2 linked regions of the Alligator mississippiensis genome follow. The protein of the gene in region 1 interacts with the protein of each later gene in a pairwise test. Links are inferred from orthologs where the notes say so. Each region holds a gene or a part of one and is shown on either strand. Other genes may lie near its edges. The genes, in order: NEK6 and TASOR2.

Evidence for each region.
Region 2: the proteins of NEK6 (region 1) and TASOR2 interact in binary tests that used the Homo sapiens proteins (3 or more experiments, as listed by UniProt). The link is inferred for Alligator mississippiensis from reciprocal best matches to the Homo sapiens genes NEK6 and TASOR2.

Annotation. Positions count from the first base shown.
Region 1 is NC_081835.1:65,887,281-65,897,342, reverse strand, and holds the start of NEK6 (serine/threonine-protein kinase Nek6), read right to left. Parts: upstream 3,901-10,062; 5' UTR 3,810-3,900; intron 1-3,809. UniProt on the Homo sapiens protein: Protein kinase which plays an important role in mitotic cell cycle progression. Required for chromosome segregation at metaphase-anaphase transition, robust mitotic spindle formation and cytokinesis.
Region 2 is NC_081827.1:6,053,944-6,063,806, forward strand, and holds the start of TASOR2 (protein TASOR 2), read right to left. Parts: upstream 4,530-9,863; 5' UTR 4,439-4,529; coding exon 4,423-4,438; intron 1-4,422.

The sequences.
Region 1 (10,062 bases):
GCAGAAATGCATAACAAATTTGGACAGGTCAGTCCTTTCACAGCAGCCCTCATTCAGTCAGTCCCATGGCTGATGGTCTGGGAAACAAGTGTGAACGCATATATACCAGCCTCCAACACATGCCAAAATAGCCTTGGAATTAAAATATTTTAAATTAGTGACAAAAAAGCCAAATGAATGAAATAGTACCTTACTCACTGCAATCCCAGCACCTGAATGGAAAAGGTGTACTTCTTTTGGCCAGTCTTTCAAGGTCAATGACCCACAGTTGCACACTAGGACTGGCTTGTTTTAATTTTTGTATTTAAAAATATATTTGAATTACTGGTAATAACTAACTGGATTTTAAGACTAAAGCTCTTACTCAAGCCAATAATGATATTGGGTGGAAAAGAATATCTAGCTGCTTTAAGGTACATATTAATAAATCAGGCAAAGTTTCTGAACAGTAAAAGTAGCAAATTTCACAGGGACACAAAGTTGCTTAAATCACTCAATTTAACCATTAAAAATAAATGCTTGCATTTTCTGCACTGATTATTTTAATTCAAGCGTTATTTTTACGTGTCTTCCGCTGTCGAGTAGCATTAGTTGATATAGAAACAACACCACAGATTGTTATAGAATATGATCTGAAAGCTCAGTAAAATGCAGTTCTGCTTGAAGTTTATGTTCAAAATACAATATATAAAGTAAGTTATCCTTTCCCCCCCCCAAATTGTGAGATTTTAAACAAAAGCCCTGCATGTACCTGTAGTTTTCCATCAGTTCCCTTCTGGGGCCTTATTAATGAAGAAAAATATAACATACTGCCCCAAGAATTCCCCAGGTTATCTGATTTTACTGTTCTTGGTGTATAAAATAAGGACCAAACGTGGGATAGCGGATCCTCTTATTTTGACAAAATACAGCTAAATAGGAAGAAATACTTGAAGAAGCACTGCAAAATGATGGAGGGGAAAACAAACACATGCAGTCCACACCACCGTGGCAGGAACATGAGGTGCATTCTGGGTGAGGACGACGACTTCTTCTGAGCCACTCTGAGCAACGTGTCAAAAATCAATACCAATTGATTCTTCTTGATTTCTAAATCTCGCTCAGATGCAATTCGACAAATTTACGTGAAGTATTACAGGCTGCTCTTTAAAAAACAGAATTTGTAGAGACATTAAGGTTCATGAAAATAATAGCAGCTCTCCAGAGAAATGGGGTGGGTTCTTTTCTTTTGGTTAGCACTAGTTTCCTTTGAACAAACATGGTGTGTTGCCCGCCTGCCTGCCTCACCTACATGCATAAAAAAATTGAAACCAACTGAGATGCTTTTGTTACATTACTGTTGGTTTTGCATGAAAACCTATTTGGAAGCAAGCAGCAAAGGGGATTTTGTTCCTCTCCCATCTGTGACAGACAGCTGCTCACTAGCTGGAATCTATGAAGCTACCAGACACTTAAAGTAGCACCAAACTAAAGTAAACATTATGCTTAAAAAAAAAAAAAAGTTTTTTGAAAACCATCTGCCCTATTTCACAAAATACAATTTCTAACATAGTTTTGCAATGTGATATCATAGCCCCCTCTATACAATTAGGACGTTCTTAAATGTTGCCTGTTCCTAGAAATTAAATGGTTGATCTTTACCTTGAAAAAAATGTAAAATAGTTTATTTCTGACACCTTCAAAATGGTATTCGAAAACCACAACTTAACCCCAGAGATTTCTCAGGCATGTGAAACTGCGGCACTTACAGTAGGGCCAGATGTTTAACTACTCAGCACAGGTTAGACTTTAAAGTAAAGTAATCTCAATCCAATCCAAAACAATTCATATGTAAAATTTAAGCCAAGACAGAAAAAAAAAGCAGATCAACCACATAAAAAAAACTGGTATCTATACAAACCGCTATATTTGAACCACTTAAAAAAACCTCAGGGTGGTTATTTGTTTTGATTTGTTTTGTTTTAATAAAGCTTACAAACGTTTCAAGCTGCCTGGTTTATCCTGCATTCAAACAGGAACTCTACTGCCTGTGCCCCGCGTTATGAGCAGAAGTAAGACAGCAGCTTTCTGCCTGGCTACTTATGCTTTAAAAAGTTAAGATTTATTTAAGATGCTTGTAAACTGGGAGTTTCAGGGGTTTACTCCCTTTGTAATATAGATCACCGGTTGCAAGGTGCGGACCTCGATTGCAATCCCGCCTCGGACAAGACGCGTGCAAGAGAACAGCGCGGACCTGGACCTTCCTGACCACCAGCAACTCTCCACGTCACGCATCGCAGCTCCTCCATCCTCTAATCGGTTTCCTTTTACGCTTCTTTCTCCCTGAGAGAGAGGTCAATCCAACCTGCATCCTACAAGTTAATAATGGGCCGCACCTGTTCGATCACCGCCAACCCATGCCTCAAGCCAACAGGCGACTGCCCCCAAAAAAGGATCCTGTATCATTTTGTCCAGCCCAGGTCTGAACCCCACAACTTCCTCTGCTCAACCATTTCACCGATTACTGCCTGGCACGTTAGTTAGTCCTTGCTGATGTCCAACCTAACCATACCCTTGTGCTTACTCCTCTGTGCATTATCTTGATGTCACACGAGCCCCCAAGAGCTAACTCACAAAAACTTTCCAAAACTCTGCCAACGTTTGCCCGAGCGGCACGCGGTATCTGTGTCCGAGCGGCACGCGGTATCTGTGTCCGAGCGGCACCGTGCTGCTTTCACAGGTTGAGCATTTCTTGAAAGCTAGCGGCTTCTCAAGACAACAGCTACGAGACACATGTATAAAGTTTGAGAAATTAAAATCCAATTCTCATTTTTATAACAAGGGACTGCAACGTGACCGCGAAGGGGCCTCCGAAAACTTATCCTAGAACTCGTATGAACGAGAAGATCAAACATTGACTTCCGTTCCCTGCACGGCCTGGTCCGAGATGGGTCCTTCCTCCAGGGTTTTTTAATCTGCAAATTAAGGCAATGCTGCTTCAAAAACTACATGAAGATCTCCTGATGAAACCTACTGGATAAAGTATTATCATCCGCCGGCACTACCTGCCAACAGAAAGGCTAAATGAAAAGACCCCGTCAAGGGTTTCGTTTTCACTTTTCGGTAGGTCTCAACCTTTCACGGGCAATTTTAGCCTCCGGTGTCGCGTCACAGATTTCGGGCTGGAGGGAACCTCGCGAGACCCTCGGGTCCAGGCGCAAGGTGAGTGTGCAAGCGTTTCTTTTGCACGTCCGCACCGCTCCGGTCCCAGTCGGCCACGTACCTACGCCCGTGACGCCTGCGGCAGCACCCCAGGGTGCCGCAGCGTGGCGGGTCGCCGGGCCCAGCCCCGTCCTTGCGAGGGTGCCACGGGCGGCCACGCGGCATCGGCGCCGTTCAGCGCGCAAACACGACCGGCGGTACGTTGCGCTGCCCCGCCGCGACGGCGGGATCGCTCCGTTCGGTTGCTACCGTCGAGCTTTCCGGAAGCGCCCCGGACTCCGGCACGCCGCAGAAAGAGTGGAGAGCCGCGCGTCCACGTCGCGTGTCCACGTCCAAGCCGCCCCCGTCCCCACGGCCCCAGAACCACGGAGGAACCTGAGGTAATTTTCAGCAGCGGGGGTCCCCCGAGCCCCCTCGGCGCAGCCCGGCCGCGCTCGTGACAGGAAGGACGGCGCGACGCGACGCGACGCGGCGGGGACGGCACGCGGCTCCTTCCCCACGACCGCCAGCGGAGTGGGGTGGGGTGGGGTGGGGTGGGGGGCTCCCCCCCCGCCGTGCCCCCCGGGGCAGGTCGGTGCCAACCCCCCCCTCCCGCGCGCCCCCGTTACCTGCCGAGCGCCCGCGCCGCCTCCCGCCGCCTGCGCGCGCCCCCGCGCCCGGCCCGGCCCGGCCCCCGGCGGCGCGAGCGCGAGCGCCAGCCCCGCCCCCGCCGGCGCGCCGCCGCAGCCGCCACGCAGGCCTGCGCCGGGAGCGCGCGCGCTGCACCGCGCCGCGCCGCGCCGCGCCGGGGGGCGGGGCCGGGGGCGGGGCTCCGCGCACTCGCCCCGCCCACCGCCCGCGGCTTGGCGCGGCTTGGCGCGGCTCGGGGGAGGCATGCGGCCGTCACCTGCATGGCGGGGAGGGGGGTTACCACACGGGGCGCCATAAATGCTCTGGGCTCGCGGAGGCGCAATAAATGTTGGCGGGCCGCCCCTGCGAAGGAGCCGCCCGGCCGTGAGCGGGGGAATCGCGCCATAAACGTCGACGAGCGGCCTGTGCCAAGGCCGGGTCACGCAACAATGGCGCGATAAATGTAGACCCGGCCCCATGCAAAGTGGTGATCGTATAATGACCCGGGGGATCGCCCAATAAATGTACACCCGCCGCCTGTGCAAAGTGGTGCTCGTGCAGAAGGAGGGATGCGCAATAAATGGAGACCGGCCACCCCCGCACAGTGTTTATCACGTGGAAATGGGGGGGCCACGCAATAAATGTTGACGGGTTGCCCTTGCGGAGTAACCGCCAGGCTGTGAATGGGGGAATCGCGCTATAAATGCAGGCAGGCTGCTTGTGCAACGTCAGGATCATACAGAAATGGGGAGGCACGCAATAAATGTTGATGGGTTGCCCCTGCAAAGTAGCTGCCAGGCTGTGAATGGGGGAATCGCGCCATAAATGCAGGCAGCCGCCTGTGCAAAGTCTGGATCGCACAGAAATGAGGGGGATGTGCAATAAATGTTGACGGGCCGCCCCTGCGAACTAGCCGCCGGGCAGTGAATGGGGGAATCGCGCCATAAACGCAGGCAGCCGCCTGTGCGAGGTCCGGATCACTCAGCAACATGGGGGGGGATGTGCAATAAATGTTGACGGGCCGCCCCCGCGAAGTAGCCGCCAGGTTGTGAACGGGGGAATCGCGCCATAAATGCAGGCAGCCGCCTGTGCGAGGTCCGGATGACGCAGCAACGTGGGGAACGGCGCGATAGCCGCGTGGGAAGGGTGAAGTAGCGCGCAGCAGCGATCGGTGTCACACAGAGAGGTGGACGGTGCCCGGACGCACGGCCCCTTCGGCGAAGGCCGCTCGGCGTCCCGCGCTGTTCAGATACGCGTCCCCTCTCCGCCGGCGCGGCGTGTCCACGAGAGCTGCGTGGAACCCCCGATCACCTGAGACGTTTCGGGTCGCAGCGCCCTGTTTTTCCAGCAGGCTCAAGCTCGCGTGGTTTCAGCTTCGAAATAAGTTTGTTTCGCAGGAACCTGAGAAACTGCGGCAAGCGCTGGATTAAATGACTGAGTTCATCCTACAAACCTCCTCGTTTCAGGCACGCTTTTTTTTTTTGTTGCCAAACCAAGGAGACGTCTGGAATGAGTCTGAGCTCCACGTGAATTGAACGCAGTTTCATCCACGAGAAACTCCTGAAACGCCCTGCCCTGGCTGGCTTTGGGCTTTGTTGTTCGATTTTGTCGTGTGAGGTCAGCGGTGCAGGCGGCGTGGGTACGTGCAGACATCGTCTGTCCGGCACGCGAGTCTCTCCTGTGTATTAGCACTCGAGACGCTGCGCGAGTATAAGCTGTACCTCCTTGCATTACTGTGATAATGCGAGGCATTTTCTCTCATGGGTGCAGATGCCTGCGCAGCTATGCCATGCTTCTCGCTAGAGACAGAGCAGTAGACATAACAGATGGAAACGAAGAGGCCACCTGGTTTTGAAGCAGATCGTATCGTCAATCCATCAGTACCAAATCTGCAACACCGGGTAGGGCTTCGATAAACAACATTAAGTCATTTTTTTCCCTCTACATCTCAGGCATCCCGGGAGCTGTAGACTTCCCCACCTCCTTTCTCTGAAAGATAACGCTCTCTAGAGTTGAGGCACGAGGATGTCGTGAGCGTACAGCGCCAAGAGGAGCACGAGAGGTTTGTTCTGCCATCCTCCGTCAATACCTCCTAGGCGAGATGTCTTTAAACGTGTGCTGGGCTCCTGCGCACAGCTACCAGACCCGGGCTTTTCACTGCTCGATTACACAGACCATACAGCTCTACCCGTACTTCGAGTTAGCAGAATTCAATAAGGAAAGAAAAAAATTAAATTTCCTGAATTACATCGTGATGGAGATGAATTTAGCCTGACATGGTGCATTATTATTCCACGGGAAATTCCTTCCTGGAAAAATCAGAGAGGAAAAATTCAAAGGACAATTTCTCCTGGAAGCTTCTTGTAAAATCATGAATTCATCTTGCACCCCTGGCTCCGCATGGCCGTGCTAAAAACATTGCATTAACAAACACGGAGCCACTTGCAACTGTCCAAGGATTGTAGGATTAGACTGCATAACTCCAAATCAAATTAGATAGATAGATAGATAGATAGATAGATAGATAGATAGATAGATAGATAGATAGATAGATAGATAGATAGATAGATAGATAGATAGATGTGTATTTATATATGTTTATTTATATTTCAGCATCCCTTCTAATGAAGTTATTGCCATTAAGAGCCATCAGACTGCTGTTGGCTTCACTTAACTGGTTTAATTTTTTAGAGCAATGATTTTATGATCTGGGTCTTAATTTACAGTCTTTATAGGGTCAGTATGATCACAGTCATATCAGATAGTCCATGATTGATAACATCTTGGCTCTACAGGTTTAAATAAGGCAGGATTTCACCAAGTATATCAATACATGCATCCTGCCTCGTTGGTTAGTTTTCTGGTCATTGTGCACTGTATCTACTTCCTGCAAGAAGTTGTTTTCAATAAAAAAAAATCCCCCCTACCAAATAAAAAACAGAATGAGCTGAAAGAGACTTTTGTCAGCAGTAGCCAAAGAAGAAAGGCTGTGAATTTTCCTCTCCAGTTATAAAGCTGCAGCACGTCTTCTCCACATACATACAGTACATGCAAGCTACTTCCATACTATGTCTGCTACATGCATGCTCCGTTCTCATATTTCTGTAAGGTTCGAATCCCAAAGGAAGAATTAATGCTAAAGGAATGCATACCAGTATGCAACTAGTCGAAAACTCAGTACAGAAAATCTCCACCAGCTTGCCTAGAGAAACACCTCTATTATTTTTACCATATTAAGATCTGCGAGTTGTTCTCATGAACATTCGTGCAACAGTTTAGTCGCAAAACTGATAAAAGTGATGCAAAGAAAGAAAAAAATTGGAATCAAAAAGGGGATTCAGAAAGAATTGGTGTTCGGGAAGATAATGCAACCTAGACAGGTCACGTGCCCCAGAAAACAACTCCAGCCCAGCTGCCTGTGGATCTCATCAGGGAACCAGATGTGACCAGTGGCAGAATATCCTTCACAGCATGGGATCTGGAGTATGCGATTGCCATCCAGGAAAGGGGAGATGGGAAAGTATGATGGAGAAAAGGTTTTGTTGCTTAAAAGAAGTTTTCTTTTTCAGAAAAGATGCTAGGTTTGGGAAAGTGTTTGGGGTAAAGAACAGAAGGATTTTTCATACAGACACAGAAGGTTTTGTGTTTTTTGCCTCCACTTTGTTAACTCTAAAGGACTTTAAAGGATGAAGCGACGTAAAGAAAAAGCTCGTATTCAACCATTTTCTTTTGCTCAGAAAAAAACCTAGGAGGGAAAATTAATAATACTAAGGGCCCCGTTGTCCTCTGCCCAGCAGGGCTGGAAACTGTGAGCTCCTGCTCATGGAATTTCCTCATTCTTTCATCGAGCAGCGGGTGAAAGGGGAAAGGCGCCTTCCCCTCAGCAGAAGCTGCAGGAGATTCAACCTGCAAGGCATGGGTACAACCGCTGGAGGCAGGAAAGGGGCCGTTTCACCTCCAGCTGCTTGTTGTGCTGGTCGCATTAGCTCGTAGTGGAAAGGCGGGTTGAAGACGAGGGTTTGCAGGCAGAGGACTCTACACGCTCATCGCTTTGTGGGCCGAGTTTCAGTCTTGTGGCGCAGCCACAGGGAAAGCCCGGTCTCCCATCTGCGCAGCATTCCCTCCGGAGGCTACAGTCGAAGAGCGAGGGAGTCTCCAATCCAGCTGCCAAGGGAGGCTGAAATCTTGCATTTGACCTGCTATCCAATGAACCAGTGAAGAGGGCAGAGCACAGGGGGTGAGCTCCCAGCAGCCCATGTTGCCGAGCGGGGGCCTAGATAACGACCGTTATGCTAGTCAGGCCTAGAGACTGTTCGTAGGGACGTAGGCTCATGCCCTCCCTTCCCATCGCCGACTTGACTTGACTTCCTCTCCGCTCCAAGCCCAGCACATTCCCTGTATGCTGTCCACCAAGGCCAGCTTCACCAGGCGTGCTTGGCTGCCTTCGCCAGTGCAGCATCTTCTCACGGGAGAAGGTCATCTCAAGAGAGCCAGGAATATGTAGGCATTAACATTCACCGAAGCGATCTCCTAGAAAAGGGCAATTCCAAGAGAACAGGATGATCCCAAGTCCAAGGCAATATGCACCCACGGTTTTTGTTTAGCTCAGACCTGTTCACAAGGCAAAGCATGGCCAACTTTGGTTCTTGCCCTTGATCAGAAGGGGTTACGCCATCTGAAAACTCCTGAGCTTTGCATTCACTTGGATCCAGAGCATTTTGACTGGTCTTTTGAAATCCATGCATGTTACTGTGAAGGTGCCCGAGACCCAGGGTGTGAGCCAGGGGTAGCGACACTAGCAAGTCATCCCATCCTGAATTCCTGTGCTGTGCTTAGATGCATGGAGGGGGTTTGCAGAGTCTAATGTGGGGCATTGCACACAGCTAGACATAGCTGGAAGCTCTCCCCTGCAAGCCGAACTGCTCAGGTTCATCCAGGCCCCTTTCTAAACTATGCCACAAATCTCTGGTGAGAGGCTCTAAAATGCGAGCCCCTTCGTTAGCCCCTTTCGATCCGTTCCAACCAGCCAATCACGGGATTTGTAAGGACACTCAATCCACCGTAAGGGTCCATTGTTTTTTGCATACGAATTGCCTTCAGATGGCACGTGATTGTTTCGGACAGTTAGGGATGTTCATACACCTCCCTTTGCCCAGTTTTCAAAAGCACAGGTTTGATTTCTCACAGCTCCATGCGTATTTCTCTCTCTCTCCTCTTTTTCTTTCTTTTTTTTTTTAATTTAAATTGAAGCCAGATTGAGCAGTACTGGCTTCGACAACCCCAAGCCCTTCCCCTATTTTCCCTGACATTCTTCCTTGCGATCGCGTCCAAGTGTTCTGGGCGAGTTTTGCTGGAATGCAGTTACTCTGAGCATGGCCTGCTATCCAAAAGGAGCTGGCGGAGGTCTCCAGCTTTCACAGCCAGATGTTACAAATGTGACCCTGCCAGAAGCTGCAATGCATGCACCTTCCCTTTCCCAGTCCCCCTTCCCCAGGGGACTTTTCTGCACCAGCCAGTCCCCAGAACAGTTTTGTCGTCTCTCCTTCACATGTATTATTGTTTCATTTTCACATGGCACCTTTTTCTTAATACTGCGCTGTCCTTTTCACCTGTATTCCTCTGCTTTGGTCTCTAACGTGTCAGGGGAAATCAGGGATTTCATAGCATCAATGGTCAGTCACTTCCCAGTGAGGGAAAGGTGAGAATTGCACCAGCAGCATCGGGCAGAGCAGGACTTTATTGTTTGCATTTCAGGACTCAGGACCTCTGGGGCTAGGTGCCACAGAACAAAAGCTGCAGCCTCTGCCCCAAAACACCTCGCATCTGAGACAAGAGATGACAGACAGATGCAAACAGAACAGGAAGCAAAAGGCAAAACCACGAGATGACACTGGTCATTTACCAGGCAGCAGTCACGATGCTGCTGCAGCCAAGCTGTTGGCTGGGTATTTGCAGGCGTTGCAGTGAAGGAGAGAGGCTTGAGGAGGACCTGTATTTTTCCTCTTCCCTTCCTATACTCCTGTGGTTTGTTAAACACGTTTCGACGTGTTTACCAGGATCCACAGCCTCAGGCCAGACACCAGGGCCTTCCTGTGCTATGAGACACGCACCGAGCACTTGCTGCGCTCCCGGACGGATAACACAACCGCTTCCTGGCCATGCAGGACACGGGATCCCCAAGCTGTGCACACAGATCTAAAGAAGCGCGTGACCCTGCCGCCTTCCCCTTTCTGTCCAGGAACCTCCCTCCAG
Region 2 (9,863 bases), on another chromosome or scaffold:
ACACATAAAGGAGTGGGAGGAATAGGAGAGTTTCCAGACAGGAATCACTCCCTGGGATGGTTGTGTAGCTTATAAATCAAAAAAAAAAATGGAAAAAAAATGCAGGTACCCAGAAGCATCTTTGCTGGGTTCAGGGGGAAAAAAAGCTGCTGCTCACTGTTGCTAAAGAAATAAACTCCCCGAGCTTGCTTCTGAAACAGGTCAGGGTCTGAAACAGGTCAGGGTCAGCAACCTGGAGTATGTCTCCCTTCCCAACTGCCTGGGCTAGGGGTGGTGGGTTGGTTTGCCAGTGACTAGGACCTGTTTAGGGTTTCAGTGAAGGTTCAGCAGTTTTCTTTAAGGTTGTATGTTTGCTCCTTTCTCCCCTGCACCTCTTGTAATCAAGCCCATTTCAGTTTAACATCTGCTGGTGAGGGGGGAAGTCCGTTCTTGTTAGAACACCTAGTGCAAACGTTACTTTCCCATATTTCTGGGTGGAGGCTCAAGCTCAGTTTGAAAAGCTGGTGTAAAACCCCTAAATTTGAACCCAGCCCTTGTTCCGGCTGTCAGGGCCTGGCAGAGGGGTTACACACGGATTCCAGAGACTGAGAATGCCTATTTAGATCATCCTCTACCTGTTGTCTGTACAGCAAAATGCTGGAATTGCTTCAAAAGGACTGTCCTGCTGCCCAAAGAGATGGTAACCCCTTTAACAAACCATCCACCTAACCTCTACAAGCAAACTAGCAAATTTAATGGTATTTGAGAAAGTTCTTTCTGCTCCCAGCCCTGCCTGGTGAGTTTATAGCAACGGTTCCCAACATAGTGCCTGCGGGCACCATCCCCGAGGTTTATTCAGGTGCCCACGTGCATTTTCATGACCAGTAAAAAATCATTATTCCAACAAAAAAATGCTGTCAAATTGGCGCCTGCTGCTTTTTTAAAAATGTGAATGTGGCCTTGGGCACATAAACATTGGGAATTCCTGGTTTATAGTATTGGGCCTTGTGTCTCCTTTGAAAAAAAGGTTCTCTCTAAAGGCAGGGACACAATCAACTCAGCAAGGGACACACTTCTTCAAGGTCTCCCATTAGCAGCTCGTCAGTTTAGCATTTAATGAAAATGTTGATTCCTACAGGGTTGCCATTGTTAATCTATTACACAGCCATTTGATGTTCCCTTTAATCGTCGGACCCACTCTGAAACACTCTGACCCCTTAGTGTGCCCTCTCCTGTTAGGGATTCATTTAATTGCAGGGATTTAAATTGTATATTCCCAGGCCCACCACACTTCCACCTCTGAAGCGGCAGTGCTAATTAGTGGTGGTAATTTCCTTGTTGCTTAGGTCCCAAGCCCTACTTTGCCTCAAGGCATTTAAATGCTACTTACACATTTAAATGTCCCCACCACCACCAATTTCTGCATTCTGCTTTTAATGGTCACTGCCTAAAATGGACAGGCATCACTTTTCTGATTTCTAGATCTCTGTCAAGTCTCAGGTTTCCATTTCTGCTCCAAAAATGTGGTGCAGCTTAAACACCCCCCACCCCTCAGTGCTTTGCTCTCAATTTAGCACATCACAGAGTTCAGTCTTCAAAGATTTGTTTAGCTTGCAACTACCTGGTTTCTCCAAGATCTTCCTACCTGCAGCAAAACTCGCCCAATATTTCTGAATCCCACCATTGTAGGCACAGAATTCATACAAAATGCCCCCCTCAGTCTAATTCCCATCGTTAACAGCACTTCTACCCTCCATTCACATCCTATAACCTGTTCAACAATGCACATATGCCATGTTAGACAAGTCAGACTATTCAGTTTCACTTTTGTTTCTAGCCTTTTTCACTTTCTGATTTCCTGCATGAGCACGATGATGACTTCTGGTGCTTCAAGGATGGGGGAGGGCATCAAATCACCAAATAAAAAAACTGTTCTGAGGAAATGGTTTGGCAAACTTTTGCCTACAAAAAATAAAAACACAACTTGGACTTTGGGTCTAGACCTGCTATTGGCATCAGCAAAACTTTGATACTAGGAAAAAGGGTGATGGTTACAAACAAATGAAATAAAACACAGGGGGAAGTGTTTTCTCGTGGTTAGAAGAAAAGATCAAGACTAAATTTTTTTAATTGGATTTCTGAACCTGCAGCTGACTTCGGGGTCAGGTAGGTCAGCGATTCTCAACCAGGGTGTGATACCTTAGGATGCCATGAGATCCTTTTAAGGATGAAGAATATTTGTACGGTTGTACGGAATACTGTAGTATTGCACAGCATTCTGCACGACTGTTGCAATGCAGACGATTTGCACGGTTGTACAGAATATTGTAGTGATGCACAGCATTCTGCACGACTTGCAATGCAGAAGATCTGCATGGTTGTACAGAATACTGTAGTATTGCACAGCATTCTGCACGACTGTTGCAATGCAGATGTGCACTGTTGTACAGAATACTGTAGTATTGCACAGCATTCTGCACGACTGTTGCAATGCAGACGATTTGCACGGTTGTACAGAATACTGTAGTATTGCACAGCATTCTGCACGACTGTTGCAATGCAGACGATTTGCACGGTTGTACAGAATACTGTAGTATTGCACAGCATTCTGCACGACTGTTGCAATGCAGATGTGCACTGTTGTACAGAATACTGTAGTATTGCACAGCATTCTGCACGACTTGCAATGCAGAAGATCTGCATGGTTGTACAGAATACTGTAGTATTGCACAGCATTCTGCACGACTGTTGCAATGCAGATGTGCACTGTTGTACAGAATACTGTAGTATTGCACAGCATTCTGCACGACTGTTGCAATGCAGACGATTTGCACGGTTGTACAGAATACTGTAGTATTGCACAGCATTCTGCACGACTGTTGCAATGCAGACGATTTGCACGGTTGTACAGAATACTGTAGTATTGCACAGCATTCTGCACGACTGTTGCAATGCAGATGTGCACGGTTGTACAGAATACTGTAGTATTGCACAGCATTCTGCACGACTGTTGCAATGCAGATGTGCACGGTTGTACAGAATACTGTAGTACTGCACAGCATTCTGCACAACTCTTGCAATGTAGAAGATCTGCACGGTTGTACAGAATACTGTAGTGATGCACAGCATTCTGCATGACTGTTGCAATGCAGACGATCTGCACGGTTGTACAGAATACTGTAGTGATGCACAGCATTCTGCACGACTGTTGCAATGCAGACGATCTGCACGGTTGTACAGAATACTGTAGTATTGCACAGCATTCTGCATGACTGTTGCAATGCAGACGATCTGCACGGTTGTACAGAATACTGTAGTATTGCACAGCATTCTGCACGACTGTTGCAATGCAGACGATCTGCACGGTTGTACAGAATACTGTAGTATTGCACAGCATTCTGCACGACTGTTGCAATGCAGACGATCTGCACGGTTGTACAGAATACTGTAGTATTGCACAGCATTCTGCACGACTGTTGCAATGCAGACGATCTGCACGGTTGTACAGAATACTGTAGTATTGCACAGCATTCTGCACGACTGTTGCAATGCAGACGATCTGCACGGTTGTACAGAATACTGTAGTATTGCACAGCATTTGCACGACTGTTGCAATGCAGACGATCTGCACGGTTGTACAGAATACTGTAGTATTGCACAGCATTTGCACGACTGTTGCAATGCAGACGATCTGCACGGTTGTACAGAATACTGTAGTATTGCACAGCATTTGCACGACTGTTGCAATGCAGACGATCTGCACGGTTGTACAGAATACTGTAGTATTGCACAGCATTTGCACGACTGTTGCAATGCAGACGATCTGCACGGTTGTACAGAATACTGTAGTATTGCACAGCATTCTGCACAACTCTTGCAATGTAGAAGATCTGCACGGTTGTACAGAATACTGTAGTGATGCACAGCATTCTGCACGACTGTTGCAATGCAGACGATCTGCACGGTTGTACAGAATACTGTAGTATTGCACAGCATTCTGCACACCTGTTGCAATGCAGACGATTTGTACTGTTAAGTGTGCAAACACCTACCCAGGATCCCCAAGAGAAACCCAGAGATTTCAAATACGAATCCAAACTGCCTACAACGTTTTGGCTTGTTGTGGGTTTTCGGAGAGGTTTTTTTTTGCAGCAGAGTTGGCGTATGACAATTCGTTCCTTCTAGGAAGAGCGCACACCGACTGCACAGACTTCCTCAGCCCCACAAAGGGTTTTTAAACCAGAAAGCTTGCTAGACAAAATGGTTCCCCACAACTATTTAAGTTGGTCTCGTAAAAGATATCACCTCCAGCTTGTCTGCTGATGTCCTTAGATCAATGCGTGCGGCTACCCACACAGGGGCCCGGTATCATTTCAGCCCCCCCAAACCCGGCTCCTGAGGGGCGCGAGCCTCCCCCTCCCCTGGGCCCGACGCCGCACTCACCAGGCGGCTCCGCCATGGCCGCTGCCGCGCTCAGGCTCGGGGCCGCATCCCGCGGCCCGGCGCCGCGAACATGTCGGCCGCCCGCGCAGGAAGTGCCGCCGCCGCCGCCGCCGGGGAGGGGAGGGAAAAAAAAAAAAAAAAAAAGAGAAAGTGAAAACTGACCCGGAAGTGGTGCTCCACTTCCGCTTCCGCTTTCCCCCCCACCTAGTCTACGGCGGCCCCGCGTTCCATGCCGCGCCTGGGCGCGTCTGCGCACGCGTGGGGGCGCCTTCCATCATGGGGCGTTTGTACACGTGTCTGTGCTAATGGGAACGTGATGGTGGCGTGCTTTTGAATTAAAACACATCAAAAGGTGTTTTAGTTCGAAACTGCGCTGGTGTGTGTGCGTTTTGCTGTTGAGACGCACGCGCCGCCAATGGACATGTTTAAATGCCCACGGGTTTTAAGTCGCCTACGAAATAGGAGCTTGCATTTCTACCTAGGAGAACTTGGGCAATCTTTTTTCCGATGCCTGATGAAGCGGGGGTTGAGCCCGAAAGCTTGCAATTAAAATTTTTTACTTTTTTTTTTGCAAAAATCTGTTTGGTCTAATACAAGATATCACCTTTACTGCGATTTTTATGTCTAAAATAGACTAATGCATATTAAAGCGCACGTATAGATGCGCCCTATGAGCCCTGGGTGGAGAGATGCCCTGTGCCCCCGTGTGCCCTGCCGGCTGGCTGGAGAGGTGCCCTGTGCCCACTTCCCTAATGGTTTGAATTGCTGCTGCTGGTGAAAGTGAAGTGGAGTGGCCTCCCAGCCACGCCTGGTTTGGCCCTTCATGCCCCCTGCCAGCGCGCACACCTTCCCCAGGCCTCTTTGGGGCTGACATGAGAAGGGATGGGGGCACGGCACTGTCTGATACTAATTTGGGTTCATGGCCCACCTTCCCCCATGATGGGGAGGGCTCCTTGGCCAAGGGCAACAGCAGCTGTGCTGCATGCACCCCCCAGCTCTGCCATGGTCCGACGGGGCGGCTGGAAGTGGCTGGGCAGGGCATACTTTGAAAGGCAGTCCCAGTTGATCAAAGGACAGGAGCACGGGTGTGCTCCCCTTCCTGTGAAAAGCAGGCAGCTACTAAAACTTAGGTTCAAAGTCCATTATTAAAAGTATTTTGAAATCAATGATTTTTTTTTCCCCTTCTAGTTTTAAGCAACCTTATCAGCAGTGGCTATTCCCTCCTCCCAGCTGCCCTTTTTCTTCCAGAGAAACTATACTGCAAAGAAGAAACTAGAAAGCGGTGACATTCACTCGTAGATAGTCGTAGCAAAGCTGCAGCGTGGTGATTCTCAACTGGGGTGCCATGAGATGAGGGTGCCACACATTATTTGTATTGTGATGTGTGCAGCTACATCCATGCAAGTCACAGGATAAACCCAGAGATTTCAAATAGAAATCCACAGTGCCCAAATCATTGTGACCTGCTGTGGTGTTTCTGAGTTCTTTGCAACAGAAGAATTGCTCTGTTACTTTTCCAAAGTCAAAAAATGCATGAAAATGAACAGCTGGCACTTTCCGAGGGGGGCCTGGTGTCTAACGAGGTTGATTCTAAAACCGCTGAAATAGAAAAGAGTGGATAAATAACCCTTTTGCCTAACCACCATATAAAGCAGGTTTTTTTGTCAGTCGTAGAGAAAGCTGATCTCTTAATGGAGCAGCTGCTTATCAGGTGGAAAGAGAAGCGAACAACATGAGATTTTTAGTAGTCTTTTGGCTCTGACACCAGTCTTTCCCGTATGATTTTCTCCTGTGGATTTGTAACCAAAGCTTTTTTCATTTGTCCATCATTTTTTAGGGGGGTGCTGCCCCACTGCTTGCTTCCAGGATGGCGGCAGTCACGGCAGGATTCAGTATTGCTTCTTTAAATATCAGCTCTCTGTACCGGGTGAAGGAGGCTGTTGCCTACAAAAGCTTATACCTCTCTGAACCAGCTGGTCTCAAGGTTACCTTGTGCTGCCTTCTGCTTTTGACTGCCTGAAGAATAGATCCCACCACCGAGGAAACACAGCCAGTTGGCAAGTGTTGCAATAGGTTACTTAAGATAAAACATGTCCGCCTGGGGCTGGCTGAACCTGTTCTGCTGGGTATGGTAGGAATCTCTGATTATGTTGCATTTGTACCCCCCCGGTACCTACTAGCTCCAACTGAGATCAGCCCCGTCGGTCCTAAGTGCTGAGATATACATAGTGTGAGAGGGAGACAAGACTGATGCACAGTGGGAGGGAAAAAAAAGAGACCCAGAGAGAGGAAGTGACATGCCCAAGGTCATACTTCAAGCCAGTGGCAGAGTCAAAGATGCAACTGAGCACAAAGATTGTGATGCAAAGGTCTCAAAGTAATCTGCAGCCCATTGAATCTCAGGGACTCCAAGAGGCAGGGAAGTGTTGGCATTCCCCTATTTTTACAGATGACGAGACCATAGCACAGGAAGGAAAAGTGATTTGTCCATGGTCAGACATTGAATCGCTGTCAGAGCTGGGACGAGGCTGCAGGGATTCTACCCCCTTTCTCTATCCGCAACACAGCTCAGACTTATGAGTGCCTGTCTAGATCCCACGACGTACCCAGGTGAGTTCCCCTTGGTGCTCCTGGCCATTCGTATTGAAAGTGATTTCTATATTATGTCATATAGAAATTATACATGTATAAAGTAATTGTGTATATATACCCATGCACATATGTACATGGCCAAGAGAGACGATTTGTGCTTGAGTTGCTGGATTCAAATGCCTAATGAGTCTAGAGACTTGTGATTTTTAAGGTTTGACAAACCCTTGTCTATCTAGAATGGTTTCAACAGGAATGATCCTGATTGGAGAAAGTGGTTGGACTAGTTGTGGCCGCCTGAGTCCATCCCAGTCTTAAAATTTGAATGATTCTGTGTTTCTAATTTTATTTACAAAGCACTTTCCAGGGACTAAATTGCTTGGAGATAAAAAGGTCACTGCAGTTCCCCTGCTCTAGAATCAGATGGTTCAGAAAAACCCATTCAAAAGGAGATTCCCAAACTACCTTTCCAAGGCTGTATGAAGTTTAGCCCACACTTCTCTGTGCCTTTCTTCTGGGACACAGCAGAAGGAAGGTGTACACAGAGGTGGATCCAAGGGGGTGCACTCGTGCATTTACACACCCCTTTAATTCCTGCTTCACCCAAAATTTAAAACCAACTTTCTGGCAGTGGCAGTGGCATTTCTACTCAGGCAGCGTTGAGGGAATCAACTAACTTCATGGCTCATTGTCATCTACTCCATCCCTTCTAAACTCTTCACCCTACAGGTGTTAATGATCTTCTCTTTTTTTATGGTCTCAATGTCTCACCAATCAAGTCACCCTTTGGTCTGCAGTTCTGCTGTCTGCTCACTGCTCCTAGTCATGAAGCTCCTATTTCACAGCCCTGCAGATGGTTTTTACCTCATTCTAATGAATTTATATTTGTTTTTGCTTCAGTCTTAAACTAAATAACGCAGCCATAGGCCCCTAGCAGATTAGTAAAGTTCTGATTTATTTTTACCTGGAGAAAAATATATGTTGTTGTATATGTGTTGTTTTGTATCGAAAGAGGACGGAGCTGGACTGCTCTCAGTGGGGGCAGATGACAGGACAAGGAGCAATGGGCTCAAGTTGCAACAAGAGAAGTTGAGGTTGGATATTAGGAAAAACTTTTTCACAAGGAGGGTAGTAAAATACTGGAGCAGATTACCCAGAGAGGTGGTAGAAGCTCCATCCTTGGAGGCTTTGAAGACCTGGCTACACAAAGCCCTGCCTAGGACGATGTAGTTGGGGCTGGTCCTGCTAGGAGCAGGGGGTTGGACTAGATGGGACCTCCTGAGCTCCCTTCCAGCCCTCATTTGCTATGATTCTATGTGATGATGCACCTCACTATGTGCACCCCCATTTTCAAAATCCTAGATCCACCCATAGATGTATATCACTGCTTTTCTAGGAGAACAGAGAACAACACTGAGGTTCCATGAACTTCTTTCCAAGTTGCAAAGTGCTCTGATCTCACAGCAAGGAGCTTGCAAAAACACACTAGGTGTTTACCTGTGGCTTGTCAATGGGAAGCTGAGCGATAGGATAGATTTGGGATTTCAAGAAATCCCTTCTCCCCTCCTCTGTTTCAAAGCATTTTAACACATTTTTCTGAATGGCTTTGAGTACCATAGCTTTTTGATGACTTCTTGGTATCCATCAGCAAAGAGGATGTAAACAGTTCTTCCGGCTGTTGATATTTTTTTGTGTGTGCCACAATTTGAATTATTCAATTCTTCATGGTAAGGGTGGCCAAAACTTGGAATGGGCTTCCAAGGGAGGTAGTGCTCTTGTAGCATGAACTAAACTAACTAAACTTGTAGCATGAATTAAACCCCCTACCTTGGGGGTCTTCAAGAGGAGACAAGCACCTGGCTGGAGTCATCTGACCCCAGCACTCTTTCCTGCCCAAGCCAAAGGTCAGACTCAATGATCTGTTGAGGTCCCTTCCAACCCTAGCATCTATGAATCTATGAATTTATATACAATATTGGGTATTGGATATACATGCCCCTGTCATATCCAATAAGCTGGATATAAGTCAACAGTGTGCCCTTGTTGCCAAGAAGGCTAAAGGCATCGTGGCCTACATTGGTAGGAGTGTTACCAGCAGATCAAGGGAAGTAATTATTCCCCTCTATTCTGCACAGGTGAGGTCACATCTGGAGTCCTGTGTCCAGTTTTGCCCCCCACCCCTACTACAGAAAGGATGTGGACAACTTAGAGAGAGTCCAGTGAAGGGCAACAGAAATGGTTAGAGGGCTGGGACACAGGACTGGTGAGGAGAGGCTGAGGGAACTGGGCTGATTTAGTCTGGAGAAGAGAAGACTGAGGGGATTGAATAGCAGCCTTCAACTCCCTGCAGGGGGGTTGCAAAGATGGAGCTGGACTGATCTCAGTGGGGGCAGATGACAGGACAAGGAGCAATGGGCTCAGGCTGCAGCAAGGGAAGTTTAGGTTAGATATTAGGAAAAAAATTCTCACAAGGAGGGTAGTAAAGCACTGGAACAGGTCACCCAGAGAGGTTGTGCACTCACCATCCTTGGAGAGACCTGGCTAGAAAAAGCCTTGGCTGGGATGATGTAGTTGGGGCTGGTCCTGCTTTGAACTGGGGGGGGGGGGGGGGGGCTGGACTAGATGTGACCTCCTGAGGTCCAGTCTCCTCTTGTCTGTGATTTTATATGAATTTGGGTTGAGGCAGCCGCTTGGCTGGGACTGCTGTAGCTTTACTGTGTGTTAACTGTGCACTCCAGGATTAATGAATTTGTGCAAAAAGGCTGTGATCGCACTTTGGTGTGGGTCCACTTCCTGGCAGTTCTATATTTTGGCTTCCCTGAAAGAGTGACTCATCTTAAGTTACAGTGAGC